5 linked regions of the Callithrix jacchus genome follow. The protein of the gene in region 3 interacts with the protein of the main gene of each other region in a pairwise test. Links are inferred from orthologs where the notes say so. Each region holds a gene or a part of one and is shown on either strand. Other genes may lie near its edges.

Region 1 (5,912 bases), on a different chromosome or scaffold from region 3:
AGAGTTCTGCTCTTGTGAACCAGGCTGGAATGCAGTGAGTGAGTGCATGCAGTGGCACAATCTCAGCTCACTGCAACCTCTGCCTTTGGGCTCAAGCAATCCTCCCACCTCAGCCTCCCAAGTAGGTGGGATTACAGGTGTGTGCCACCACACCCAGCAACTTTTTTATTGTTTGCAGTGATGGGATCTTGCTACTTTACCCAGACTGGTCCCAACGCCTGGACTCAAACTCTTTTCCTGCCTCAGCCTCCCAAAGTGCTGGCATTATAGGCATGAGCCACTGTGCCCGGCTCGGGACAGGTCTTTATGATCTTCTGGGAAACTGAAGCTCGCAGGAGTTATGTCACCTGCACAAGATCATGCAGAGATGCCTTCAAACCCGTGTATGGCTGACTTCAAAGCCTATCCTGAATGTACCACATTACAGTCCCAGGGTTTGGAAGGAGCATAGACTCCTCCTTCTCTTTCCAAATTTTGAAGGCAATCCTCAAGTCACTGAAGCCCAGAGCCAGAGTAGTTGGGGAACAGGAAGGTGGGGGTTGGGAAATGCCTTGGCCAGACAGGGCCAGTTGCTGCAGTCCAGCCTGTGGAACTTCTAACCCACACCCTGTCAGCTGGCAGCTGTGCCTGCATGGGCCAAAGACCTTGGTCCAAGGACTGCCAAGCCTGCAGAGAAGACCAGCCACTTCCTCAAATCCCATTAGGGCTGACTGAGGCTTACTTGGTGCCAGCTCCTGCTCCCAGGCCGGTGCCCACCCCAGGGCATGGCACCTGGCCTAGTGAGTAGGCAGGAGTACTCTTGTTAAATCCCCTGCGTCAGGGCCATGGGGCCAGCTGTGTCAGCCAGCCAGTCACTGCTGTCTCCTTCCCAGGTGTGACTACTGCCAGTTTGGCAGGCGGTCCCCAGTTACCACCACACCCAAGTACTGCAGGGCAGCTTGGTGCCTCCTGAATCAGACTTTCCAGCCATGGAGGGGGCAATGGCTGCACCCTCCTTTCTCCCATGCCAAGACCCTCCCCACTCTGCTCCAGGCTGCTGCTGAGACCTGCGGGGAGGCTGACAGACGCTGTCAGCCAGCAGGCTCACAAAACTCACTTGCAGCGCAGCCTGATGCAGGCCCTCTGGCTGCAACTGGAGAGATCAGATTGTTCAGTTCAATCCTCTGGGCCCAGAGAAGCAAAGGACTTGTCCAAGGTTACACAGCTAATAAAAGGCCTCCTTGCCTGTAGTTTTGGGAAGCCTCCTTACAGTAGGGCGGGTCCCTTTAGCACAGATACAAGCAAGAACAGCATCTAGCTGCTCAGGTTGTCACTCCAGGCAAAGCCTTGTAGGGGTGGAGATGGAGATAGGTTCCAATTTTTGAGCCATAGGACAACTCAGCAGTGGTGAAAAGCCATGAGGCAACAGCCGGCACCACGCTCCCCCTCTCCCCTGCCCCCATCCCTGCACACATCCCAACAGCTTTCAAGGTTGCCAGCTTCAAGGTTGTGGATTTATTCCAAGAAACTTTCTTTCCTGTGGAGGCAGCTGTGCAGACCAGGTGAAAGCACCTGTCCCCTTTGGAGTCAGGAACTAGAGGGTGTTGGAAAGCAGCAGCCTAGTCCCAACTGAACAGACAGGGACACTGAGCCCAGCAAACAGAACTGACAACAAACAGCCCAGGCCCTGAATCCAAGTCCAACTTCCCAGCCCAGCTCTGAAGTCTCTGCCACCCTTCCTCACTGCTGCCAACAGCTCCCGGTTCTGTGCTCTCTCTGACCCGGGTCTGGAAGGACATGGTACCACCATCAAATTGTAAGGTTAGCTCCTATTGACCTGGAGTATTCCCCATCTGGCTAGGAGCACCTGAAGGGGTGGAGGCCGAGTCCCAGTCAAATCTGTGCCCTTGGCTTCCTAAACAGGGCTTGGCACAGAGCAGACACCAATAGGGGCAGTTTAAACCATACTGACAGGGCAAGGAGTTCTCCTCCCTCCAGGTACCCCCTGTTCTTGCAGAGGGAGGCTGCCACACTGGGCTCCACCTCCCACCCCCCGCCATGCCTGGGGCCAAAGTCATGGAGGTGCAGCAGCTGGGGCCCCAGGATTGACTTGACAGTCCTGGGGAGTAAAGCCTTGACTGGTTTCCCCAGGTGACTAGTTCCTTGAGCAGAGCAGCCGAGGAATGCTTCGGCCCCATGAGTCAGCCCAGGATAATCTGCCCTCACCCCATCCTGTTCCTAGTTCCTCCGGAGGGTGAGGGAGGTAATCTGCCAGCAGGCACCCCTCCCCCTCTGCAGGAAGCTAAGGTGGTAGGAGGCAAGGGAAAGGCCTGCTTCATCCAGCCGGTGAGTCTGCCTCCTCAGGAAGAAAGCTATCACCTGGCAGGAATCCACAGGAGTCCTCTCTGAGTTTCCTGGTTTCTTTTATCAGAGGAGCCTTCCTAAGACCTAGAAGTTGACCTTGGGAGCAGGGGTAGGGGTTGGAAAACATTGAACCTACCATAATCTGCTCCTGGGAAGACCCAAGATTCCCTGGGTTTGATTTTCACCTCATTAAGTAATCTTGGGTGGCTCACTGCCCCAGCTATAAAATGGTATTTCAGAACATGACATCGTCTGGGCTGTACAGATGAAAAAGCAGTCTTGGGGTCGTTGAGGTTCAGATAAAGGGAAGATTTGGAGTACCAAGGAGGAGGGAGGGGCCGTCAGAATTCTCTTCTCCCGTTCCTCAGGAGAGATGGGACGTGGGGCCTGAGGCCTGGGTCGGCCTTCATTTCCAATCTTGGGAAGAAGCAGCAGCACCTAAATTGGTCATTTAATGTTGCTGTTGGGGGTGGGGTATCAGGTCTGACCTTCAGCTTAATAAATCTTGGGCCACAACCGCAGCCGAGTGAGGGAGTCCCTGACAAGTTTTCCTGGCTTTTCCACAGGGCCCAGGGGGAAGGGCAGGTTTCTCCAGCAAAGGGCTGTAGGAACATAAGGCCTAGAGTCTACTCCTAGAACCTCGAGAGGAAAGGAGGCTGAGGTCCAGGGATGCCCAGATAGGGAAGGAAAATCTATTTTGAACTCAAGCATTCACACTCACCCACCCAGGGCCGCCTGGCATCTTTTGTCCTTGCAGGCAGAGACAAATTCTTCCCCAATGCCCTCGACATCCTTCTCCCCTCCCCCAGCCAGGGCCTGGGTGAGTGGTCCGTGGGGAATCAGAGTTCTCCAGGAGTCGAGATGGAAAAGCCAGATGGGGAAGGATTAGTAGATGCAGGGGTAGGTCTGGTCTGCGATTCATAATGCTATGTAATTGTTACAACCCTGTCCACGTTCCTCAGTTTCTCTAGCTGTCTAGAGAGTCAAACAGACTCCAAATGCCTTCCAGCCTCGAGAGCCTCAGAAGGGATTCCACCATATCCCCCGCCCAGCGTCCTCTCACCTGCACGATCTGCCGCGGCTGCACGCTCAGCGTGGGGAAATTGCCGCGCCCGTGGATGGGAATCGGCTCGCTTAGGAGAGCGTCCAGTCGCTTCACCTGTGGCCAGCTCAGCCCGCTCAGGTGCCGTCCGGGGGAGGCCGAGAAGGCCTCCGGGTCGGGGCCGCCGCCTACCGGGGCTACCGTGGCCACCGCCGTGGCCGCAGCCATCCCCACCTGCACAGCTGCCCCATCCCCGCGCTCAGCTCCGCTCTCCGACGGCATCATCTGCCCGGACCCCGGGCCCCGACGGCAGAAACCGTGGGGGTGGTTAAGGGGAGAGGACAGGAAGAGCGGCTGGGCAGGAGCCAAGGCGGGGGGCACGGAGGCAGGTACGAGGCGGCAGCGACGGCGAGACAAAGCCAAGGCACACCTCGGACGGCGACGACTGACCGACCCTAGCGCCTGCAGCCGGGAGCCCAGCGGACTCTTATAGGCCGCGGGCGACGTGCCCATTGGTCCCGGCCGCTGCCACACATCAGGAGCCGCCCCGCCTCTCGACGCTCAGGACATTGGTCGGCAGAGCTTTGCACGTGAGTCACTGTTCTCCAGAGAGATTCCGATTGGCTGGAGGGCACGCCCCTGCCCCGCCCTCCTCAAACTGAATTCCCTCCTTTGGTCCTTAAAGAACTTCTGTTCACTGTGATTGGCCCGTGTCTGGATTTAAAGGGACAGCGCCCCTTAGGGGCAGGAGGGAGGGAGGTAACCTGCGGAGTTTGTAGTCAAGCCACTGAGAAATTCCAAGTTTCTGTTTTTTGTGTTTTAGCGCTGAAAGAAATTGAGAAGTCACCGGGCCTTTGTCCTGGTCATCTGCTATTTTCAGAAGCCCAAAGAGATTGCGCCACGTGATCAACTCCGCACAGCACTGCTCATGATCTGGCAGTTTTTCAGAGCCTAGAAAAGGTATAATAATAAACTCTGTGCATACCATGGTAAAGGCTTTCTTTTTGTCTTTTTTTGAGACGGAGTCACACTCTGTCGCCCAGGCTGAAGTGCAGTGGCGCGATCTTGGCTCACTGCAACCTCCGCCTCCTGGGTTTAAGCTATTCTCCTGCCTCAGCCTCCAGAGTAGGCAAGTGACACCATGCCCAGTTAACTTTTTTGCATTTTTAGAAGCGAAGGCTTTTCACCATATTGGCCAAGCTGGTCTCAAATTGCTGACCTTGTGATCCACTTGCCTTGGCCTCCCAAAATGCTGGGATTACAGGCGTGAGCCACGGCACCTGGCCCTAAGGTAAAGGCTTTCTAAAGCACTCTGTTGATTAGCCTTTGCAAACCAGAGTATGATGAGTGTTGATGTACAGCATAGCAAATTTAGAGAAGGGGAGATCTGCTCAGAGAGGGTGTGTGATTACCCCACTGTCACAGAGCAAACTAGTTAGTTCCTGGTCCTGAACCAGTGCTATGGAATTTGTGGCTGATGCTTTTTCCACTGCACCTACACAGACCTTTCTGGGACTAGAGAATGAATAATATATTTACATGTTTCTCTGCAGGTCCAAGCTATTCTCCTGCCTCAGCCTCCTCAGTAGCTGTGACTATAGGCACCCACCACCATACTCAGCTAATTTTTGTAATTTTAGTAGAGACAGAGTTTCACCATGTTGGCCAGGCTGGTCTCAAACTCCTGACATTGTGATCTGCCCGCCTTGGCCTCCCACGTGAGCCACCGCACCCAACCTGTTTTTTGAGATGGAGTTTCACTCTTGTTGACCAGGCTGGAGTGCAATGGCATGATCCCAGCTCACTGCAACCTCTGGGTTCAAGCTATTCTCCTGCCTCAGCCTCCTGAGTAGCTGGAATTACAGGCATGTACCACCATGCCCGGCTAATTTTGTTTTTTTATTTGTTTGTTTTATTCTGTCTTTGTTTTTTTGTTTTGTTTTGTTTTTTGTTTTTGAGGTGCGGTGTAATCCCAAAGTGCTGGGATTACAGCGTGAGCCACTGCACCCAGCCTGTTTTCTTTGTTTTTTTTTTTTTTTGTTTGTTTGTTTTTTGAGACAGGGTCTCACTCTGTTGCCCAGACTGGAATTCACTGGCATAATCGTGGCTCACTGCAGCCTCAACCACTCCGGCTCAAGCAGTCCTCCGAATCTCAGCCTCCTAAGTCCCTGGGACTACGGGCACATGCCACAACACCCAGCTAATTAAAACAATTTTTTTGTAGAGATAAGGGTCTGGCCATGTTGCCCAGGCTGGTCTTGAACTCCTGGGCTCAAGTGATCTGCTGGCTTCAGCCTCCCAAAGTGCAGGGATAAGGCCCAGTGTGGTGGCTTATGCCTATAATCCCAGTACTTTCGGAGGCCGAGGTGGATGGATCATCTGATGTCAGGAGTTTGAGACCAGCCTGACCAACATGGAGAAACCCTGTCTCTACTAAAAATACAAAAATTTAGCCAGGTGTGATGGCACATGCCTATAATTCCAACTACTTGGGAGGCTGAGGCAGGAGAATCACTTGAACTTGGGA
Region 2 (5,970 bases), on a different chromosome or scaffold from region 3:
TTTTCAAGTTTTGCCATCCCTTTGCCTAGTTACTGTTCTTCTGTTAAAACACCCTTCAACAAGAATTAGCCAGGTGTAGTGGTGGGTGTCTGCAGTCCCAGCTACTTGGGAGGCAAGGTGGGAGGATCACTTGAGTGGGAGAGGTGGAAGTTGTAGTGAGCCAAGATCGAATTGTACTCCAGTCTGTGGACAGGGACCCTGCCTCAAAACAACAACAACAACAACAACAAAAAACCCACCCTTTCTTCCACAGTGCTTCATACATTTATTTATTTATTTATTTTGAGACGGAGTTTTGCTCTTGTTACCCAGGCCGGAGTGCAATGGCGCGATTTCGGCTCACTGCAACCTCCACCCCCTGGGTTCAGGCAATTCTCCTGCCTCAGCCTCCCGAGTAGCTGGGATTACAGGCACACGCCACCATGCCCAGCTAATTTTTTGTATTTTTAGTAGAGACGGGATTTCACCCTGGTGACCAGGATGGTCTCGATCTCTTGACCTCATGATCCACCCACCTCGGCCTCCCAAAGTGCTGGGATTACAGGCGTGAGCCACTGCACCCGGCCTGCTTCATACATTTAAATACCGTGGTTCACAGAGGCAGTACATTGGCCGCAGTTAGCTGTCTGTCCTGCTCACAGGTACCTTGTTTGGCATCACTGTGTTTTAAAAGTAGCTCTTTTAGATAGGAGTCTGTACTCTCCAGTGGGTCCTAGTCCTTATGTCAGGTCATCTTTTATTGTTACTTGCCTAGCCTCTACAGCCATTTGATTTAGCAATTTTAAGGGTTTCTTTTACATAAACCACATACACCCAGGATAGGACTCCCCCAGCCATCTGGAGTGCTCATTCACTACTCTAGAGTCTAGGTCTGTGCTGTCCAATACTGTGGTCACTAGTTGCATGGGGCTATTGAGCTCTTAAAATGAGCCCAGTCCGAAATAAGATGTGCTGTAAGTATAAACACCACATTTTGGAAACTTAGTACGAAAAAAAGAATGTAAACTATCTCGTTAATAACTTAAGATTGGTTACATGTTGAAATGATATTTTGACTCTCTTTCTTGAGGCAGCGTCTTGCTCTGTCGCCTAGGTGGGAGGAAGGGCAGTGGTGTGATCATAGCTCACTGCAACCTTCACCTCCAGGGCTCAAGGGATTCTCCCACCTTATCTTCCGGAGTTGCTGGGACTACAGGCACACACCACCACGCCCTTCTCCTTTTTGTATTTTTTGTTTAGACGGGGTTTGGCTATGTTGGCCAGGCTGGTTTTGAATGTTTGTGCTCAGTCTTCACCTCAGCCTCCCGAAGCGTTGGAATTACAGGCCTGAGCCACAGCGCCCGGCTGACCAGTTCTTTAAATCCACCTTCTGTTGTAAATGCTGTTTAATTAGGCTGCTTTTATAGTTGTCTGAGAGCAGAGAGAAAAAGCCCTACAACTAAGTGATGAGAATCACCAAGTAAGGGGGACGTGGCCACAGGGCAGGAAGCAAGTGCAAAGTTCAAATCACACACCAACGCGGTTCCCTTCTGCATTCAAGGTCAAACACAATTTTTTTTTTTTTTTTTAGTAACTTCCTATATTGGTGGGGCGAACTGATGAGGCAAGGTACCCGTGGACAAACGTTTCTATGACGCCAAATACATTGCACAAACCACGGTGGGTAAAAAACGGATGAAAAGTTCTTGATGGAAGGGAATGAGATGGGAAGGTCAATTTCTGGCTTGCCCTCTCTGTCTCCAACTACTCTGCCTGCAGAAGGAAAATGCTGGGAAACGAACCTTCAGCTACAGGCGACGCTGCTCTAAGTTTGAAGCAATTGGGAAAAGAAGGCCATATCCCTAAAGTTATCCCAGCGTAGGATCCGCCACGCTAAGTTTCCTCAGCCCCAACGGACGGTTCCGCCTGCAATCGTCTTCCAGCTCCCGGCCAGCTTAAGCTTCATCCTCGCCCGCGCCCCACCTCCATCCCTTTCCCGGCCACCCATGAAACGCCTTGATGACGCCATTTTAAACAGTGCTATCGCGAGATACACTTCGCAATTTCCAGCCTAACTCATTTGCTTTCTTGCGAGAGTCTCTTCTCGTCGGCTCTCGCTGTAGCCAAGGAAAGTGTCGCGAGAGCTGGTTGCCTTGGCTCCCTGTAGCTATAGCAGCCGCGGCGGTTAAGTATGCGGCGGCAGGAGCGGTGAGTGCGACATCCTCAGGGGGGCGGGGCCGGGGGTAACGGGGTGCAGGGGGTAGCGCCTGGGGAGGGGGTGTGGGGAAGGTTGGGTCGCGGGAGGAATGGACCTGAGTGTGACGTGTGGGGAAAGACCTGGGTCCTGTGGGTACAGGGACGCGGCGCCGGTCTGGTCTGGGGCACGCGGGGAGGGCAAGACCTGCTGGGAGGTCCAGGGGGAGGGACCCGGGTGTAGTGGGGTTCAAGGGGCGCGGGCTGGAGCGTGGAGGGGTGTGTGTATTGGGAGCAGGGTGTTTACGGAGACTCGGAACTGGATAAAGAGGCCAGGCTACACTGGGAAAGAAGTGGGAAGAATTGGGGTACAGCGAGGAGGAGGGTATGTTGAATGAGAGCACAGTTTGGTTGGGCCCAGTTTGCTTTTCACTGGTTAGGGGAGTGGAGGGAGGAGAGGGATCAGACCTTTACAGATCCCGGGACTCTGCCTGAGGCTGGTCGGGGACCGCGCGCCAGGACCTGGGTCCTGAATGGCGTGGCGGGAATGGTGGCGTCCCAGACCGTCACCGCCTCCTTTCCCTCTTTCCGGAGAAATACCCCACGGACACTCCGAGATGCAAAAGGAGAGTCCTGGTGAACTAGTATTAGTTGGGAAGGTCCTTTTGGCTGAGAAACTACGAGTGGTTCGATTGCTGCTCTAAAATAAAGCGCAGGGTGGGGAGAGAGCGATTCTTAAGAAAAAAAAAAAAAAAAAAAAAAAAAAGGTTGCTTCCCCTGAAGCTTACTGAGTTGGAAGAAGGGGGTGTGTGCTAAGATGATGTTTCTTCCCAGACTCATTCAACTGTATAATTCCTTTACGGTGTACTTATGAAATATATGCAAGGTAAAAATCAATTTAGGTTATATGGTGAAAAAATATGAAATACGACACTTAAACCTTCCACAAATATAACTTAAAAACCACTTTTTTTTTTTTTTTAATTGCAGCAGCAAGCTGAACACTAAATCTAGGGTTAGTGTTAGTTATTTGAATGTAAAACCTATTTGTTCCTAAAGTGTGCCTATCAAGTTATTTGCCTTTTAAGAAATGAATGAAATTTTATTTTGGGAGACAACATGTTTTGAATGTCTCAATGTTGAAATAAAAGGTGTCTCTCAGGAGTTAAAATCAGTGAGAGGGGAAAACATCTAGTCTTTGAGTCTTAAGGACTGTTTTCTGGAAACAGATGTGGACCACTTTGCTGGGTTATTTCAATCAACAGATACAAGCTTTCTGATCATTTTTCTATTTTTTGTAGGTATAAATTTGAAAGGATAACCTCTCGATTATATAACTGGATTTTTTCATGTCGAGGTTCACAAATACATTAATTAGAATAATGGCTTTTTGGCTGGGCACGGTGGCTCATGCCTGTAATCCCAGCACTTTGGGAGGCCAAGGCAAGCGGATTGCTTGAGGGCAGGAGTTCGAGACCAGCCTGGCCAAAACAATGAAACACCGTCTCTACTAAAAAAATACAAAATCAGCCGGGCGTGATTGCACCTGCAATGCCTGCTATTACGAAGGCTAAAGCAGGAGAATCACTTGAATCCAGGAGGTGAAGGTTGAAGTGAGCCAAGATTGTGCCTCTGCACTCCAGCCTGGGCAACAGGAGCGAAACTCTGTGTCAAAAAAGACTTTTAAAGTTCTTCTGAATTTGAGCTGGTTTTGATGTGGTTAGTCACTGAACCCATTTATTTCATACATGTTAGAGTAAAACCTAATTTGTAATGTCAGCAGCTAAACTTTAAAGTAGAAGTGTTTTTCTGAGGCAACACAAAGTTTTGTGTGGTGATTGGGCCCAAAAGATTTCTGCATGAATCAAATAACAAGCTTTACTGCATTCCTGTTATGTGTAAAGTACTGTGTAAGGCACTGCAGGGAAAAAAGATTAATTCATTTATCCACTTACTATTTACTGAGACTTGGCTGAGTGAGGTGGCTCATGCCTGTAATCCCAGCACTTTGGGAGGCTGAGGCGGGTGGATCACCTGGGGTCAGAAGTTCGAGACAAATCTGGACAACATGGTGAAACCCCGTCTCTAATAAAATATAAAATTAACTGGCTGTGGTGGAGGGTGCCTGTAGTCCCCAGCTACTTGGGAGGCTGAGGCAGGAGAATTACTTGAACCTGGGAGATGGAGGTTGCAGTAAGCTGAGATCCTGCCACTTCATTCCAGCCTGGGTTACAGAGCAAGACCCCCGTCTCAAAAAGAAAAATTTATTGAGACCTATTTTGTGTCTGATTACTAAGCCTTCAGGATACAAGTACAGGTAGAACTTGCCTTGGAATCGCTCAGACCCTATGAGGGCAGACTGATAGAGAAAAAAAATACATACAATGTGATCAGCACAATATGTGAACATGAAAGTATGAGACAAAGTTCTGGCCCTGAAGAATTTATATAGTTGTTGACAAGACAACAAATTGTCTCTTTTTTTTTTTTTTTTTTTTTTTTTTGCAACAGTGTCTCACTGTGTTACTTAGGCTGGAGTGCAGCAACAAGATCATGGCTCACTGCAACTTCAACCTCATGGGCTCCAGCCATCCTCATACCTCTGTCTCCTGAATAGAGCTGGGGCTACAGGTGAGGGCCACCATGCCCAGCTGATTTATTTTTAGAGATGGAGTTTTGCTATGTTGCCAGGCTGGTCTCAAATTCCTGGGCTCAAGTGATACTCCCACCTCAGCCTCCCAAAGTAAGAATTTTCTTTTCTTTTTTTTGAGATGGAGTCTTGCTCTGTTGCTGAGGCTGGAGTGTAGTGGCGCAATCTCGGCTCACTGCAACCTCCACCTCCCAGGTTCAAGTGATTCTCCTGCCTCAGCCTCCTGAAGAATATTTCTTTTTTTTTTTTTTTGAGACAGGGTTTTGCTCTGTTGCCCAGGCTGGTTTGCAGTGGTGTCATCACAGCTCACTGCCATCTCAACCTCCTGGACCCAAACTGTCCTCCCACCTCAGCCACTTGAGTAGATAGGACCACAAGTACATGCAACAACGCCCAGCTAATTTTTGAAACTTCTTTGTAGAGACGAGGTCTTGCTATGTTGCCTAGGGTGGTCTGGCTAGTTACTCATCAATCTTCTTGCCTTGGCAGCTTGGCTTCCCAAAGTGCTTTGATTACAGGCTTGAGCCACTGTGCCCAGCCTAATAATTTTCCCAGTTACAAAGTATTAAGCAAACTCTAAATTGTGCTGCATTAATGAAACACACAGTACGTTTCTCAGAAGAGATAAAAGAATGAAAGTTTGAGAAGAAAATTCACCAGTCAGTTCAAAATTTAAGTCCTTTTTTTTTTTTTAAACAAGTTCTCTGTCGCACAGGCTGGAGTGCAATGGCATAATCACGGCTCACAGCATCCTCAGTCTCCTAGGTTTAAGCAATCATCTTGCTTTTCACCTGCTCCAGGAGCTGTGACTATAGGTGCTTAGCTAATTTTTGTACTTTTTCTAGAGACAGGATCTCTATGTTGCCCATGCTGATCTCAAGCTCCTGGGCTCAAGCGATCCTCCCACCTCAGCCTCCCAAAGTGCTGGGATTATAGGCGTGAGCTGGTCCTAATTGTCTTTTTTAGAACTCTTTTACTGTAAATATAAATAAATATGGACCAGGCGCGCGGTAGCTCAGGCCTGTAATCTCAACAATTTGGGAGGATGAGGTAGATGGATCACTTGAGGTCAGGAGTTGGAGACCAGCCTGGCCAACATGGCAAAACCCCATCTCTAGTAAAAATACAAAAATTAGCTGGGCATGGTG
Region 3 (5,381 bases):
AGATGGTTTCACCATGTTGGCCAGGCTGGTCTTGAACTCCTGACCTCAAGTGATCTACCCACCTCGGCCTCCCAAAGTGCTGGGATTACAGACGTGAGCCACTGCGGCCAGTCACCAAGCATCCTTTTAGGGGCTGGGGACTCAGTGGTAAACATCATGCCTGCCTCCTCGAAATCACCTACAGTCTCACTCTGATCCGTGTTTAGTCCTGTCCTGTATGATAATAGTTGTCCATTGAGCTCATAAAATCTAAAACCATGCTGGGCTTCTGAGGCCCACAGAGCCCAGCTCGGTGCTAAAAGCTAAGTGGTGCTCTGTCATTGCTGGGGTTCAAGTGACTGATTCTAACAGAGATCAGCTATAGAGCTAACACTTGGTGGAATATTTTAAATACCGATGGCCATTTCACTGGTTTCTGCCTATGGTAAGTACAGGTACACCCAAAAGTGAAAAGCCTCATTTATAGTGTGTTGCTGGGGGAGAGGGAGGTTTGCAAACTGAGTCATTTTTTCCCCATTCAGCCTGTGTGTGTCTGTGTGTCGGCCTGTGTATCTGTGTGCATGTGCCTGTGTATGTGTGTATCTGTGTGTGAGTGCCTGTGTGCATGCCTGTGTGTGCACCTGTGTATGTCTGTGTATGTGCCTGTGTATCTGTGTGTGTGCCTGTGTCTGTGTATGCCTGCATGTCTGTGTATCTGTCTCTGTATGTCTGTGCGTGTCTCTGTGCCTGTGTATGTATGTGTGCGTGTCTGTGTATGCCTGTGTATGTGCCTGTGTATATATGTGTGTCTGTGTATGCCTGTGTGTCTGTGTGTCTGTGTGCCTGTGTATGTCTGTGTATCTGTGTGTGTATCCCTGTGTGTCTATCTCTGTATGTCTGTATGTGCGTGTCTGTGTGCCTGTGTATCTGTCTGTATCTGTGTATGCCTGTCTCTGTATGTCTGTGCGTGTCTGTGTGCCTGTGTATGTGTGTGTATGTATCTGTGTGTGTCTGTGTATCTTTCTGTATGTGTGCCTGTGTATGTCTGTATGTGCCTGTATGTATCTGTGTGTGTGCCTGTGTACCTGTCTCTGTATGTCTGTGCATGTCCATGTGCCTGTGTATGTCTATGCCTTTATGTATGTATCTGTGTGTGTGTGTCTGTGTATGCCTGTGTCTGTCTCTGTATGTCTGTGTATGTATCTGTGTGCGTGTCTGTGTATCTCTCTGTATGTGCATGTCTGTATGCCTGTGTATGTGCCTGTGTGTCTGTGTGTGTGTATGCCTGTGTATGTGCCTGTGTATGTCTGTATGTGTGTGTGCCTGTGTCTGTATGTGCGTGTCTGTGTGCCTGTTTATCTGTGTCTGTGTCTATATGTATCTGTGTATGCCTTTGTGTATGCCTGTGTCTGTATATCTGTATGTATGTGTGTCTGTGTGCCTGTGTATGTCTGTCTGTGCCCGTGTGTCTGTGTGTATGTATCTGTGTGTGCCTGTGTTTGCCTGTGTATCGGTCTCTGTATGTGCGTGTCTGTGTACCTGTGTGTGCCTGTGTATGTGTCTGTGTATGTATCTGTGTGTGTGTGTGTGTGTGAGTTCATACGTGTGCTTAAATCAAAGAAAAAACGTTTTCATTTGTTCCCTTCCTCCTTCCTCTCTCTGTCTCTCCCTGTTTCCGCAGGTCAGCGTTGAAGTTTTGGTAGAGTATCCTTTTTTTGTGTTTGGACAGGGCTGGTCTTCCTGCTGTCCGGAGAGAACCAGCCAGCTCTTTGATTTGCCGTGTTCCAAACTCTCAGTTGGGGATGTCTGCATCTCGCTGACCCTCAAGAACCTGAAGAACGGCTCTGTTAAAAAGGGCCAGCCCGTGGATCCCGCCAGCGTCCTGCTGAAGCACTCAAAGGCCGACGGCCTGGCGGGCAGCAGACACAGGTATGCTGAGCAGGAAAACGGAATCCACCAGGGGAGTGCCCAGATGCTGTCTGAGAATGGCGAACTGAAGTTTCCAGAGAAAATGGGATTGCCCGCAGCACCCTTCCTCACCAAAATAGAACCCAGCAAGCCTCCGGCCACGAGGAAGAGGAGGTGGTCGGCGCCGGAGAGCCGCAAACTGGAGAAGTCAGAAGATGAACCACCTTTGACTCTTCCTAAGCCTTCTCTAATTCCTCAGGAGGTTAAGATTTGCATTGAAGGCCGGTCTAATGTAGGCAAGTAGAGGCAGCGTGGGGAAAGGAAACGTGGCTCTCCCTTATCATTTGTATCCAGATTACTGTACTGTAGGCTAAATAACACAGTATTTACATGTTTTCCTCTTATTTTAGGTTTCTGTTCTAACCTTGTCATTAGAGTTACAGCAGGTGTGTCGCAGGAGACTGGTGCATATGCTTTTTCCACGAGTGTCAGTGAGCAGGCGGGAGGAAGGGGGCTCCAGGCATCCCCTGGGAAGAAAGGAGTGGGGCTTCAGGGGCACCCGCCTTCTCTAGCAGCACAGAAGCAGCCCGGGGCGCTGACTCCTGCTAGTTTCAGGGGAAAGTTCCGTGGGAAGGGTCCTGCAGAGTTGCAGGGGTGCATGCATGTGGGGGTGCAGAGGCACTGTGGTGGCCAGTGAGGGTCTCTTTTTCTCTGCCTCCCTCTCTTGTTATCAGCATGGGACTGGGGATTCAGAGCAGGGTCCTCCTGGGGTTCCCATGTACACGATCAACAGCAGGAACCCAGCTTCAGGGCATCGCAGAGACGCGTCAGATGGCAGATTTGGAAAGCTAACCATTTAAAAGAACATTTTTCTCTCCAACATTTTACAGTAAAAGCAACTTTTAATTGTATAGATATATATTTCCCCCTATGGGGCCTGACTGCACTGATATCTTTTTTTTTTTTTTTAAAGAGCAACTGCCACATGCGGGATTTCATTTCTGCTTTACTAGTGCAGTGATGTCACCAGGGTGTCGTGGACAGGGAAGCCCCTGCTGTCATGGCTCCACGTGGGGTAAGGGGGTTTGGGGGTGGGGCGGGGAGAGAGTGAACACCCACGCTGGTTCCTGTGCAGTGTTAGGAAGACCTATCAGGTTACTGCCTTGACTTCACTCCCAAGAGGTAGATGCAAACTGCCCTTCCGTGACAGCAACGGAAGCTCTTCTCAATGAGTTTGCAAAATCTGTCTTTTAATTCTAGTACTGTTTATAGTTCATGACTATGGACAACTCGGGTGCCACTTTTTTTTTTTCAGATTCCAGTGTGACATGAGGAATTAGATTTTGAAGATGAGCATATATTACTATCTTTAAGCATTTAAAAATACCGTTCACACTTTATTACCAAGCATCTTGGTCTCTCATTCAACAAGTACTGTATCTCATTTTAAACTCTTTGGGAAGAGGAAAAAAAAAAAAAACTAAGTTGCTTTCTTTTTTTTCAACACTGTAACTACATTTCAGCTCTGCAGAATTGCTGAAGAGCAAGATATTGAAAGTTTCAATGTGGTTTCAAGGGATGAATGTGAATTATGAACTCGTGTGTGACAATAAATGACCAAGTACTACCTGACAGGAGGCACTTTCACTTTGATGTCTGAGAAACAGTTACAGGCATATGCAGAGTGGGCAGAGGAACTGAGGAAAGGGATGGAGAAGAGAATACTCATTTTTGTCCAGTGTTTTTAAGATGAACTTTTAAAGAACCTTGCAATTTGCACATCTTGAGTTTGTAATTTGTGTGATATTCCTGCAGTTTTTATCCAATAACATTGTGGGAAAGGTTTGGGGGACTGAACGAGCATAAATAAATGTAGCAAAATTTCTTTCTAACCTGCCTAAACTCTAGGCCATTTTATAAGGTTATGTTCCTTTGAAAATTCATTTTGGTCTTTTTACCACATCTGTCACAAAAACCCAGGTCTTAGTGGGCTCTTAGAAACTCTGAGAATTTTCTTCAGATTTGTTGAGTTTTCCATAAAAACATTTATATATGTGAGCAAGATTTTTTTTAAAACAATTGCTTTATTAGTGTTATTTTCAGAATGACTTTTTTTTCTATTCAAAATCAAATCAAGATTTAATGTTTGGTACAAACCCAGAAAGGGTATTTCATAGTTTAAACCTTTCATTCCCAGAGATCTGAAATATCATTTGTGGGTTTTGAGTGCATCTTTAAAGTGCTTTAAAAAAACGTTTTATAAGTAGGGAGAAATGTTTAAATATTCTTACTTCGAGGGCTGCAGCGAACCTGAACAAATCCATACTCGATTTTTCTTTTACCCCCTTGAAAATAGTATTTCCTTCATTTCACAAATTAAAAAACAAAAATCTGACATCATCAGCCCACATTTTGGCTATCTAGTATTCATTTACATTTAGCACTCAGCAGGACTAATGATTTTTGTAAACCATTTTCTGGGGTGTACCAAAAACATCTGAATAGGTTTAGAATAGCTAGAATAGTTCCTTGACTTTCCTGGAACTTCATTACCCTCTCAGCATGCTTGCAGAGAGGTGGGTGGGCTCATTCTTGCGGTCAGACTGCTTAGTTAGTGCTGTATTTTTTAAACGTTTCTGTTCAGAGAACTTGCTTAATCTTCCATATATTCTGCTCAGGGCACTTGCAATTATTAGGTTTTTTTTTCTTTTTGTTTTTTAACCTTTGATGGTAAGAGGAATACGGGCTGCCACACAGACTTTGTTCTCGTTAGTATCACTATTGACAACTCATGTGGACTCAGAGAAACACACACCACCTTTTGGCTTACTTCGAGTACAGAACTGACTGGATCCACTAAACTAACACTAAGATGCGAAAACACACGTGGTTTGCAGCAATAGGAACATCATCATTTTTGTGGTTCTATTTCAGGTATAGGAATTATAAAAATAATTGGTTCTTTCTAAGCACTTGTCCCATTCATTCTCTTGCTTTTTTAGCATGTGCAATACTTTCTGTGCCAATAGAGTCTGACCAGTGTGCTCTATAGTTAAAGCTTATTCCCTTTCCGCTTCTTCCTTGTTTGGTTGATCTTCCCCATTCTGGCCAGAGCAGGGCTGGAGGGAAGGAGCCAGCAGGGAGAGCGCCTCCCACCTTTCCCTTGCTGCAGATGCTGAGTGCTGGGGCGGGCAGCCTTCAGGAGCCCCGTGCGTCTGCTGCCGCGTTGCAGAAAAAGCCAGCCAAGGAGACCTGTCACCACATGGAATAGTGAATGTGGAGTGTGGAGAGGAAGGAGACAGATTCATTTCTGAGACGCACTCTGGAGCCAGGTAGCCTGGAGTCAACCCATTTTCCACGGTCTTTTCTGCGAGCGGGTAGGCCCCCTCCTCGGAGTCTGTGTCCTTGAGACTTGGAGCCCTGCCTCTGAGCCTGGACAGGAAGTATGGCCTGTTGTGCGTGTGTTCTGAGCGTGCTGGCCAGTGGCTGTGGAG
Region 4 (6,026 bases), on a different chromosome or scaffold from region 3:
GGTTTGCTGGTCGGGAGGGGCCAGGCAGGGGTGGGAGCGACGCGGGCGGGAAGGAGGGCGGTTCGGTCCTCGGAGACGTCAGGCCCCCTCGCCCTTCCCGGGGCACCGAGCCTGCGCCTCTCACCTTCCTGCTGGCACATCTGTGTGAGGTCCTCCACCAGGCTGGCCGCCTCCCTGCAGTTTCGGGGGCCCTGTGACTGCACCCAGGTCCGCATCTTGCTGGGCAGCGCGCCCAGGAACTGCTCCAGCACCAGCAGCTCCAGCATCTGTTCCTTCGAGCGCGCCTCGGGCCTCAGCCACTGGCGGCAAAGCGACCAGAGCTGGCCCAGAGCGAGGTGCGGCCCGCCCGCCACATGGTACTGGAACTGTCGGAACCGCAGACGCTGGGCTTCGGTGTCCCTGGGGTTTGCTGGCCCATGGTCCCCGTCCTGCTCACTCGGGGTTGGGGTCTGGGGACGTCTGGGGGAGGCAGGGGCTTTGGGCCGTGGGAGCATTTCTCTGGTCAGAGTGCCCTCTGAAGGGTCTGTGTGGACTGGATCCCAAGAGTCTCAGTGGCTCCAGACAGAGCCGGTGTGGCAGGTGGGCGGAGTCAGCAATCAGGGGCCTGCAGAGAGGGGCAGGGACAGAGGGGCCACATCAGATGGTGGCCCTCCCTGCTCAGGATGCCCCTCAGCTCCTCACTTCCTAGTCCTGGCCTCCAGCACCCCAAGGAACTAACCTGACTTTTTCCCACCTCCTGACCTCCTCTTCCACATGCCTCTCAAAGGCTACTCTGCGCTGAATTCAAGCCACTGGCTGCCTGAGGACCTTTGCACCGGCCATCAAACCCCAGCCCCTCCCCTCCCAGATGTCCCGGCCGTCTTCCACCCCCCCCAGGCCTTTCTGAACACATCTTTTTTCCTTAGAGTCTATCTCCCTCTCATCTAGTCATTCAACACTCATCGACTGACGAGCTGCGGGAGCTCCACTGGCTGCCCCCGTGGAGTAGCCAGCGCTGCGCAACAGAAGCTCCGACAGGGATGCAGACATTCTCCACCCATGCAGCCACCTACACGTGGCTGGGAGCACCTGAAATAAGGAACTGAACTTTAAATTTAAATGGAAGCAGCCAGGTGGGCTACATAATAATGAATGGCGGTGGCGGTGACGGCGGCAGCAGCAGTCTCTGCCCATGGTATCTTTGCTGCCTTCATGCTTTTCCTACCAACTCCAAGCTGGTAGAGGAGGGCAGGAAGAGGGCAAGGGAGACTGGAGACTGAAAAGACACGGAGAGTAGAGGGCAATGAAAAAATACCCTCTTGTGGCCGGGTGCAGTGGCTCACGCACTTTGGAAGGCTGAGTGAGGCAGGTGGATCACCTGAGGTCAGGAGTTCGGGACCAGCTTGGCTGACATGGTGAAACCATGTCTCTACTAGAAATACAAAAATTAGCTGGGCGTGGTGGCACGTGCCTGTAATCCCAGCTACTCGGGAGGCTGAGACAGGAGAATCGCTTGAACCCGGAGGAAGAGGTTGCAGCAAGCAGAGATTCTGTCACTGCACTCCAGCCTGAGCGACAAAGTGAGTCTCTGTCTCAAAAACAAAAACACCTTTTGTACATTTCCAAGCCTACTATGGTGAATATATAACTGAAGAAAACATTAAACGTTATAAAAATAAACGGAGGTTTTGGTTGTTTGTCTTTAACAACTGTACTCTGGGCTGATCTGCTGGTGAGAATAGAAATTGGCATGACCTTTCTGGAAAGCACTATGGACACTTATATATGAAGGACACTTGGGAGATTGCATGCAGGATGCAAGATTCACTATAAAAGTGCCCAGCTGTTGAACGTGGTGGGATCAAGTACCTCCCCCACCATGTGATGGGGGGTGTTCCATGTGCACAACACACACCATGACATGACCACAGGGAGTATACACATGATGTTCAGATGACATGAGGCACAGAGAACACGGGATGCGGGATGATGCATGAGTGTCCTAGAAAGCGGGTGCTGGGCAGAGGCCCACAGGGGGCCAGCCAAGTGCTTTGTGTTCTTCATACTTCTCTGAATGTCCTCCAAATGGTGTCAGGATCCCATGTGACCTTCATCAACATGGAAAAACAAAACAGAACAAGAAATCTTTAGGAAGGATTTGTAACTACAAGGGAAATGCTGATGACAAGTGAAAAGGAGAGATTCCATGGGATTTTCCCTCTTCATCCTCTGCTGCATTCTTCGTACCCTCTACAGGTCTTGTGCATGGGTTTTACAATCCAGGAGAAAGGAGAGGTGCAGGGTGGCAGAAAAGGCAACTCACCAGGCCTGTGCCCCACCAGCAATCTTCGAGTCTCGTACCCGGCCACCTGCACCCTGATTGGGAGACTACAGCTTGGTCTCTCCTGCCGAGACCACAGGCAAATATAGTCTCTTACATTGTATTCACACTTTTATATATGTACTTTTGAATAAGGAAAAAGGGCCTATTTTGAAGCTCCACAGGTCCAAGAAGTCCCTTTGCCCTGGGGCCTCAGTCCTTATACTCTCTCAGGTGCTCATGGCAGCTCACCATGGAGATTCCAGGGAGCGCTGTAGCCCCTCCGCATCTTCCATGGTCCTGGGCTGAGGTCTGTGAGAGGGGAGGCTAAGTTTATCGGGGATGAGGGTAAAGAGGAGTTCTTAGCAGAGGGCACAAGAGTCCGCAGCTGTGTCTGCGGTCTGTATGGGAAAACTCGGGCGTGCCTGAGCTCACGAGGGTCCTGGACTGATGGTGGAGGCCGTTTCTGGAAGATGAAGAGGGCCTGGGATGATGCGGAGGGTCCTGAGGTCTACATAGCTGGTAAGAAGGATCTGGACCCCCCCATGGGCAATGCTGTGGTGGCCCCGGGGTCCTAGAGGTCTACTTCGGTAGGGGTCTGGGATTAGTGTTGGGAATGTGTGAGAGTGTCACTTGGAGGGCTGAGTGCCTGGTGGAAGTGCCTGGTTCACTCGGCAGGAGCACTGCGATCTGCAGCCCAGGCCCCAAATTCTACTAGGGGGATGGGATGGGCGGAAGGGCTTTGCCGTGGATGCCGGATGCTTATTGACATGGTGGACGTGTTCCCTGCGCCAGTCAGTGAATGGCTCTGGCTCTGAGAAGGGGGCTTACAATGCCACACAGGGGAGCTCCATAAGCAATGGGCAGCGCACTAGGAATACGGGGGAGGGGCAGGGACGGAGACTCAGGTTGGGGGTCGGCTGGGGGGATGGGCTGGTTGGGTGGGGGATGGGTCGGGGGAGATGGGTCCAGGGCGGCTGTTCGGGTAGGAGATGGGTTCGCGGCGGCTGGTTGGAAGGGAGATGGGTTCGGGGGCAGCTGGTCAGGAGGGAGACGGGATGGGGGTGGCTGGTCGGGAGGGAGATGGGTCCTGGGATGCAGATCAGGTGCTGAAGGGAGAACTTGAACGCGGCCGAGCGGGGTCTAGGCGGGCAATGGGGGTGCGTAGAGGGGCTTCTGCCGCAAAGTGACAGGCGGATGCCAACGGGGATCGAGGTCCCCGCGGAAGGGGCGGCCCCAGCACCCCAAACCCCCTCCCTGCGTGGGCTGTAGCCTTCCCCTTCCCTCCCCCACAGCGACCTCCCGACTCCCGACGGACTCTGGAACCCCGGCCCGGCCCGCCCCCGCCCCGACCAGCCTCCCCCGACTCGCGCCCCGGGACCGCGATCTCGGGCCAGCTCCCGCCGACGCGGCGCCGCGCCCCTCCGGGAGATGGGCGCTTTGGCGGGTGGAGGAACGGATGGGCCGCGGCGGACTCACCGCGCGCGGGCTCCGCTCCGGCCTGGGCCGCTCAGTGATGGCGACCCCTGGGCTGGCGAGCGCGCCCAGCGCCGCGGGCGGACCCCCTCCCGGCACCCCGCGCGCCGCGGGCGGCCGCCATTGGTCCGCTGGGGCGAGCCGCGCGTTAGCGTCACGTCACGCGTAGCGGGACTCCCGGGCAGGGGCGGGGCTGTGACGCACTAGGCGGCCGTGGCCAATCGGATGCCGCCTGGGATGAGCGCCCCGCCTTCGCCGCGCCCTCCAGTAACCTCCCGCTCCGGCTCGTGTCGCCTTGGCAACTGGTCGCGCGGCTTCGAGGGCGCTTCTGAGGGGAGCCGAGAAGGGGCCGCCTGCGGGGATGCGCAAGTACGAGGCGGCCGCTGAGCAAAACGCAGGCGTTCCACACACGCCATGATCCTTTATTTATGACGGAGTTTCGCTCTTGTTGCCCAGGCTGGAGTGCAATGGCGCCATCTCGGCTCACCGCAGCCTCCGCTTCCCGGGTTCAAGGGATTCTCCTGCCTCAGCCTCCCGAGTAGCTGGGATTACAGGCACGCACCACCATGCCCAGCTAATTTTTTTGTATTTTTAGTAGAGACGGGGTTTCACCATATTGACCAGGATGGTCTCGATCTCTTGACCTCGTGCACCACCCGCCTCGGCCTCCCAAAGTGCTGGGATTACAGGCTTGAGCCACCGCGCCCGGCCGAAACAGTGTTTTTAATGTAAATACGTTTAGTACAAGTATGTCCCAGAATAGGATCGCCAGACTTAGCAAGTAAAAATACAGGACGTCCAGCTAGACTTGAATTAAGGAGAAGAGTGAATTTATTTTTAGTATTACTGTTTCATATTTAGGGTATTTAAAAAGCTTCTGGATATAAATACATGAGTGTAAGTGATTTCCACTGTAATTATGTCCCATAGTATCATAGTAGCATTGCCCGATTTAGTAAGCAAAAAATAAAGCTCAGTTATATGTAAACTCAAGAAAAACAAGGACGCCGGGCGCGGTGGCCCATGCCTGTAATCCCAGCACTTGGGAGGCTGAGGTGGGTGGATCATCTGAGGTTGGGGGTTGTGAGACCAGCCTGGCCAACATGGTGAAACCCCCGTCTCTACTGAAAACACAAAAAGTAGCCAGGCATGGTGGTGCGCCCCAGTAATGCCAAGGCAAGATAATCGCTTACTGGGAAGCAAAGGTTGCACTGAGCCGAGATCATACCACTGCACTCTAGCCTGGGCAACAGAGTGAGACTCTGTCTCTAAATATAAAAATAAAAAGGAATACATTTTTAGTATCAATGTGTTCTATATTTTACATGCTTTAAACAAACATAATGTAAGTACATTGCATGTAAATAATTTTTTCCCAAATGCTCCCTCTTTAGAAGGAGTGATAATTTTTTTTTTTTTTTTTTGAGACGGAGTTTCCGTCTTGTACACAAGCTGGAGTGCAATGGCGCGATCTCGGCTCACGGCAACCTCTGCCTCCTGGGTTCAGGCAGTTCTCCTGCCTCAGCCTCCTGAGTAGCTGGGATTACAGGCACACGCCACCATGCCCAGCTAATTTTTTGTATTTTTAGTAGAGACGGGGTTTCACCATGTTGACCAGGATGGTCTCGATCTCTTGACCTCTTGCTCCACCCGCCTCGGCCTCCCAAAGTGCTTGGATTACAGGCTTCAGCCACTGTGCCTCGCCTATATTTCACATACTTTAAACAGACATTATATAAGTACATTGCATGTAAATAATTTTCCCCAAATGCTCCCTCTTTAGAAGGAGTGATAATTTTTAATATTAATATGTCTACAGTATAACCATGTGCCAGAATGAGGTTGCCATATTTAGCAAATAATATAGAACAATAGTTACATTTGAATGTCAGATAAATGATGAATAATGTTCTAGTGTAAACATGTCCCAGGCCTGGTGGTGGCTCATGCCTGTAATCCTAGCACTTTGAGAGGCCGAGGCAGGACAGGAAGATCACGTGAGCCCAGGAGTTGGAGGCAGTCTGGGCAACATGGAAAGACTCCATCTTGACAAAAAATACAAAAATGACCCTCAGGTGGTGGTGCACATGTGTGGTGCCAGTTAGGAGGCTGAGGTGGGAGGATCACTTGAGACCGAGAAATTGAGGCTGCAGTGAGCCGTGTACACAGTACTGCAGCCTGGGTGACAAAGTGAGACCCTGTCTGAAAAACAAAACAAAAATATGTTTTGTTGTGAACTGAACTCGAGCCC
Region 5 (5,908 bases), about 4.3 Mb from region 3:
GCGGGGGCCGCAGGCGCCGGGCGGAGGAGGCGGCGGAGCTCTCCGGCGCCCCGGGCCACGGCATGATCGCGGCCGCGGGGCAGCCGGGCGGCCGGGCCGGGGGGCGCGCGCCGCGGCGGGGCGGGCGGGCGGACCCTGGGACCGCGGGGCCCGGGGCGGGTAGGACCGGCGCGGGCTTTACCTCTCCCCCAGGGCAGAGTAGGGCACGTTTAGCGTCTTTGGGGCCGGCGGTAGGAACGCGGGCCGGGCGGCGCGGGGGAGGCAGGGCGAAGGTCGTAGGCTTTCCCGCGGGTGGGCGGGGCGGCAGGGGATCCCCGGGGGCGGGAGGCGGGGAGGCCGCGGGGGGCGGGGTAGCGGCGACGCGCGGGCGGAGGAGGGGGCGTCCCCGCGGGGAACGGGGTTGACACCGGGGTGAGGGGTGGGGGACGCCCGGGCGCCAGGGCCCGGCTGGGCCGGCGCGGCCGCCAGCTCTGTCGGGGGCAGGGCCAGGTTGGGCGCCCGGCCCGGCGCGAACGCGGAGCCAAAGCCCCGGGTCTCCCCGGCGGGGCGGGCCCTAGGCCGCGCCGGCCCCGCCACCCACCCGCCGCTCCGCCCCGCCCCGCCCGGCCAAGCCGCCGCAGGGACAGGAGGGTGCAAGGGAGGAGGCGGCGGCGCGGCCCAGGGGGGGAGGGGCGGGGTTAGGGACGCGTGGGGCGGGAGCCCAGGGTCGCGCAGCCAGGGGAACTCGCACCCGGCGGGGGCGGAGAGGCGGCCCCAGCCGGTCACGCGGCCCAGGGAAGGCCTGGCCGGGTCGCGCAGTTGGAGGCGGTTGATCCGGGAACAGGGGCGGGGCGGGCGGGGCCGTAGTTTCTCTTTACCGTCTCTTTACTTTCTACAGCAGGATGTGGGCCGGCCGCTGACGTCATGGGGTCTCCCGGTCCCGCCCCTCGGCCGGGCAGAATGGGGGAGGGGCACGGGAGGCACAGGGGCGGGCGGGGGGGGGACCCCAAGGGGGTTTCCTCAGCAACGCGTAGAAGGAAGGGGAAAGTCATTGTGAAACTTGACACTCATTAACTTTGAAAAACAACTTTTAAAAAAACCAGAGGGGGGAGGGGTGTTGGTTTGGAGAGTGGAAGGGGACAGAATATTAACCCTGAACTGAAACCACTTTTTGGTGGCGGATGTTCTATTAAAAGAGCGAGGAAAGCCAAGGTTATTCCAGAGGCCGCTCCAAAGCCTCGCTGGTGCTTTCCAGTGCCGAAGCTGCGAGCGCAATTAACCCCTGCCTGCCAGCCCTACAGCTTAGGGCCGCCCCGGGAGGGGACTTCGGGGACTGAACATGGGGATGCGGGGCTGGGCGTCGGACCGGGCTCCAGGGACGCTGGGGAGGGAGTGAAAGGGGAAGAGGGAGTAATTAGCATGAACCAGAGTGTGACCCCGGCTGCTAGAAAGCAGTAGAGGAAGCAAGGAGTGGAAATCCACGGCAAAGCAGTGAAGAGGGTATGGACCAGGGCAACGTAGGTTTCAAGGTTAGACTTAAAGAACGTACGCAGTTTGGGGCACAGAAATTCCACCCGTGCACCTCAAGAAGCAGGCAGGAGTGGCTGGTTTAATGGGCCACCTCGAACTTGGGAGGAATAAGGTGAAACCAAAAATTTGATGCAAAAGAAAAAAAATCCCTGATGAAACTAAACTGTTTTCCCCTTTTAAGGAATAAAAATGCCAAACGACCATACACCCACTAAGACAGCTGGCCATCTGTGCAAACTTGAATTGTTTTGTTCCCTTGGGCTTCCATAACGACGTCTAGGTTTTTCCTGCTAGAGCTGACCCCTAAAATTCCCCTGAGGAAATCCTACCTCTAGCTCATTTGAGCTAAGAAAAGCTCAGAGCACCAGAATGGGAATGATTAAAAATGGAATACTCGGTAATGGCAAGTTTGTAGCCAAAAATAATATCTAAAGGGGGAAATATGCCTACTATAATTTGGTTATAAAAGCAAAGATCATCCAACTGTGTACATGTAAAAGAATGTCTAGCGTACTAATGCTAACCCTACAATGAAATAGTGCAATTTCTATTTTCAATGTGATATAACCATCTCTCTTTTTTGAAATGAAATGATATCACCAAAAAAAGTATATAATGTAACTTCCCAACTAGGTTATTTGAATCAAAAAATAAACATGCGTTTAACTGTGAACGTATAGCTATGGATCTGTCAGGAGAAAGGTAATTTGATAATGAGTGGAGTTTGTATCACTTCCGAAGTGAAAAATGCTAACTGAATGAATTACATTTAACCCAATTGTTATTGGGCATACCATACTGTCAACACAGTGTTTATGTAGGATTCAGCATTACTACGAATTTTCTCACAAGACATACATGCAATTTTGAATCATAATAGGTAAATTTTTGACATTTCAACTATTTCCTTGAGCAGCAAACCGATATTAAACTTTTATTTGAAATATATACAATACAGAATAGTTTCCTGGTAAGTCTTTGAATTTTCTAAATGCAGTTTCTTTTCCTAACTCTGTCTACAATTCTTCCTAGATATCCGGATGCAAGGAAATCTGGCTAGGCTATAAAGTATCTTCTTTAGGCTTAATTTTTTTTGTGGCAAATCCATTATATTTTCTCAAAATGTATCAGATAAAGAGCGTGGGAAAAAATGAAGCAGAGGGTGAATATGAATGGCAAACTGCATTTTCAACTGTCAAAAATCTTGGGACAATGCGGGAGCGAGTGATCATTCTCTGACCCCCAAAAAAGAGGGGGCTCCTAGGGGACCATTTCTCTAGGAATCCATCTCTACCGTCCGCGTGAACGCTTCTGGAGCCCCTCCTGGGGGAGAGTGCGGTTCAAGGGAGGACAGTGTCACTGAAAAGATCTACACACGTTTTTCTTACCAAACAGTTTGGAGAGGGCACAAGTCCACCCCGGAGCCGCGTCCACTGGGCCCCGCGCCACCCTGCCCGCCCCCGCCGCCGCGTACCCGGCTCCAGTTCCCACGCGGCCGCCCGCCCCAGCCCGGATCCGGCTCCCCCCTGGCGCGGCCCCGGGGCCCCGGCCCTCCGCCCAGAGCGCGGCCCAGCAGCGCCGCAGCCACCGCCACCGCCACGCGGAGATCCCGGAGGTTCCTCCCCGCCGGCCGCCGGGTCACGCCGCCCGTCCCTCCCCTCGGTCCTCCGCCCTCCGCCCTCCACCCTCCACCCTCCACCCTCCACCCTCGGCGCGCTCCGGGCTTTCCCGTCCACCGGCCGAATCCCCTCCTCCTCGGGCGACAAAACCTTCTGGGCGACCCGGCGACAAAACCTTCTCCGCACACCCTGCCAACTCTGCCCCACGCCCAGGCTCTTCCCAAGTCAGGCGCCAGACAAAAGAACCCGGAGAAAAACTTACCCGAACTGCACCGCAAAAGTCTGATGCAAAGCTTCCTGGGTTTAACTTTTAATTTTAAAAACAACAAAAGCAGAAACCAAAAGCCTCCTAGGTTGGAAGTGGGCGTGAGAGGAAATGCTAGAGGGAGGCGCTTCATTCCCCGGGCTGCCGGTGCCCCCCTTTCTGGCCCCTGCCGGGGGCTTTGATGTTATCTAGTGCACCGCCTCCATCGCTTTCTACCTTGGGCTCGGCGCCGAGAAGATACACTGATCTTCCGCACTCCACCTGCAGGTTCCGAGAAAGGCGAGAAGGTAACCGCGGCTAAGGACCCACACTCCTTAGCCCCGCAGCGAGAGAGGAGCATTTGCACGGGCTTCCTGTTGCTACCTGGGCTGAAATGAACAATCCACCCCTCCAGTGATCCTGGAGACTTGCGCCATGTGGTCTTTCCTGCTAGACGCACAGAGGGAGGCCTCGTACTTTAGATTCGTTTTCCTCCACCCGAGCACAAACTTGTAAGATGGTGGTGGAGTATGTTTCCTGCGGTTTTGTTCGGGTTTTAGATCTCAGTTTGGAAGATAAATATTATTTTCCTTCTGAGACAGTCCTGCAACCTTGAAAAGACAAGAATAAATCTCTAAAGGCAACACATTCTATAACATGCTTTACATTCATCATAAATTCCCTTACGGGTCAGAGTATCCGCACACCCTCCCCATTACATTATGGAAAGCGTGTAACTTGATTTTCTCTTGCTTGGACACTAGCAGATACTGAATATAGTTTGTCATTAGGTTAGCAGTCTCGGGACCATCACTAACAAAGTACTACAAAGGATTTTTTTTTTAACAGATTGGTAGTAAAGGATGGCGCTGTCTAGCAATCAGCCTTACCTGTGACTACACTTTACACCAACAGAATCCTGCGTTCAGGCCTTGCCCTCTGGGAGATTACAAATTAATGGAGACAGGATAAACACAAGGAAAAATACCTAGAGGGAAAAAAGATATAAGAGGCTTATAAACAGAGCCAATTAAAGTTATACAGTTATTTACATGATCGCAGAGAAGCTTCTGCTTGAGTAGAGGACAGGGTGAGCAGAGTTCCATCCTGAGCGTGAGTTCTCAGTGGGATATTGAAGGAGAGAAAGTTCACAATTTGGCAGTGGTGTATGAACAGCATTACAGAGGAGGGAAATCTCTTGAAGGTGAGAGCAAGTGAACTGTGTGTGATGGTTTTTCCACCTAGAGCAGAAAGTCTCAGCAAATGAGATACAAGTAACACCCACACCAGGACACTTTCAAGAGTGAAAGGGAGAGTATTAATAATTATACTCGGATGAGAGATGTACACCTGGATTGCCCCGGGCCAATGGGAAGGGTGGGTTCTCTAGTAATGAGCTAGGACGACAGAATGGGCAGACAACAGGCAACCAGCAAAGAGCCTACTCAGTCATCATTTGGAAGGAATTAAGCCATGATATTACGAACAGTTGGTAGCCATTTGGAGACATCTGGCCTGAGAATGGTCTTTTTAAGGAAAGTGATTGTTACTGATGGATTTAGGGTCCATACGGAGGCTGGTTAGCAGTAGTAGTAATGGTAGTGGTCGTGACGAACAGTTATTGAGAGCTTACGACTTGCCAGGTTTTTCTGTATGAACTTATTTAATCCCCACCATAAACCCACACTGTAGATGAAGAAACAGAGGCTTAGAAATGCTGCATCGTTTCCTGCAAGCCACAAAGCTGGTAAATGATAAAGCCCTGATGGGGGAATCCAGAAAATAGTCAGATGCTCAAAGTTTAAAGATTATATGTTGTGAAAACCAGATTACGATAACTTCCTAATATTCTACATCGATGGAGCGAATAAGAAAAGGGAATTTTTATGCATTAGTTTGCTAGAGATGAAAAAAAGGGAATTTTTTAAAGTTTTTCAAGTTTTGATGTGTCATGAAAATGATAGGCATGCTGGCATGGTGTGAGGCTTAAGGGAAAGAAGAGAAAATGTGTTTAATTTCAACCATGTCTAGTTTTTAGAAGGATAATTTAATTCACATTTATTCCAGTACTTACACTGCTACCTGTAGGAGACACGCTATTAGAGGAAGCCTCGTCTCATTGAAAAGACTCTCGTTCAATGGCAAGTAATGACAGTTTAATGGGTATTATTTGGTGTACTAGTCTGCAAAGAGGGGAAAGAAAACTAGATGTGATTGGTGCTTGCAGTTCCTGAAAGAATTCCTTATAAACTATGTCCACAGCAGCATACTGAGTAACCCTAGAGAAAGAACAGCATTCAATGAAAATGACCCAACCTTATCTGTGATCTAACAAGGTGGTATTTTTGTTGCAGTAGACCCTGAGCTAATACAGTGTCTCACAGTTCTAGAGACTGGAAGTTCAAGATCAAGGCATCAACAGGGTTGGCTTCCTCTGAGGCCTCTCTTCTTGGCTCGTAGACTGTCACCTTCTTTCTGTGTCCTCACATGGCCTTTCTTAGGTATACTGCATGCACAGAGAGAGGGAGGAAGAAAG

The links. The genes of interacting proteins can lie anywhere in the genome.
Region 1: the proteins of ATXN1 (region 3) and TENT5B interact in binary tests that used the Homo sapiens proteins (3 or more experiments, as listed by UniProt). The link is inferred for Callithrix jacchus from reciprocal best matches to the Homo sapiens genes ATXN1 and TENT5B.
Region 2: the proteins of ATXN1 (region 3) and USP54 interact in binary tests that used the Homo sapiens proteins (3 or more experiments, as listed by UniProt). The link is inferred for Callithrix jacchus from reciprocal best matches to the Homo sapiens genes ATXN1 and USP54.
Region 4: the proteins of ATXN1 (region 3) and ZSCAN1 interact in binary tests that used the Homo sapiens proteins (3 or more experiments, as listed by UniProt). The link is inferred for Callithrix jacchus from reciprocal best matches to the Homo sapiens genes ATXN1 and ZSCAN1.
Region 5: the proteins of ATXN1 (region 3) and HIVEP1 interact in binary tests that used the Homo sapiens proteins (3 or more experiments, as listed by UniProt). The link is inferred for Callithrix jacchus from reciprocal best matches to the Homo sapiens genes ATXN1 and HIVEP1.

What each region holds. Positions count from the first base shown.
Region 1 is NC_133508.1:63,658,671-63,664,582, forward strand, and holds the start of TENT5B (terminal nucleotidyltransferase 5B), read right to left. Parts: upstream 3,846-5,912; 5' UTR 3,671-3,845; coding exon 3,407-3,670; intron 1-3,406. UniProt on the Homo sapiens protein: Catalyzes the transfer of one adenosine molecule from an ATP to an mRNA poly(A) tail bearing a 3'-OH terminal group in an ATP hydrolysis-dependent manner.
Region 2 is NC_133513.1:56,504,688-56,510,657, forward strand, and holds the start of USP54 (ubiquitin carboxyl-terminal hydrolase 54), read left to right. Parts: upstream 1-2,125; 5' UTR 2,126-2,187; intron 2,188-5,970.
Region 3 is NC_133505.1:14,368,955-14,374,335, forward strand, and holds part of ATXN1 (ataxin-1), read left to right. Parts: intron 1-1,660; coding exon 1,661-2,191; 3' UTR 2,192-5,381. UniProt on the Homo sapiens protein: Chromatin-binding factor that repress Notch signaling in the absence of Notch intracellular domain by acting as a CBF1 corepressor. Binds to the HEY promoter and might assist, along with NCOR2, RBPJ-mediated repression. Binds RNA in vitro.
Region 4 is NC_133523.1:50,725,728-50,731,753, reverse strand, and holds the start of ZSCAN1 (zinc finger and SCAN domain-containing protein 1), read right to left. Parts: upstream 3,846-6,026; 5' UTR 3,779-3,845; intron 2,766-3,778; exon of another isoform or gene 2,385-2,765; 5' UTR 2,303-2,384; intron 2,088-2,302; 5' UTR 2,046-2,087; exon of another isoform or gene 1,895-2,045; intron 605-1,894; 5' UTR 495-604; coding exon 125-494; intron 1-124. UniProt on the Homo sapiens protein: May be involved in transcriptional regulation.
Region 5 is NC_133505.1:18,640,862-18,646,769, forward strand, and holds the start of HIVEP1 (zinc finger protein 40), read right to left. Parts: upstream 3,846-5,908; 5' UTR 3,757-3,845; exon of another isoform or gene 3,655-3,756; 5' UTR 3,391-3,654; intron 306-3,390; exon of another isoform or gene 182-305; intron 1-181.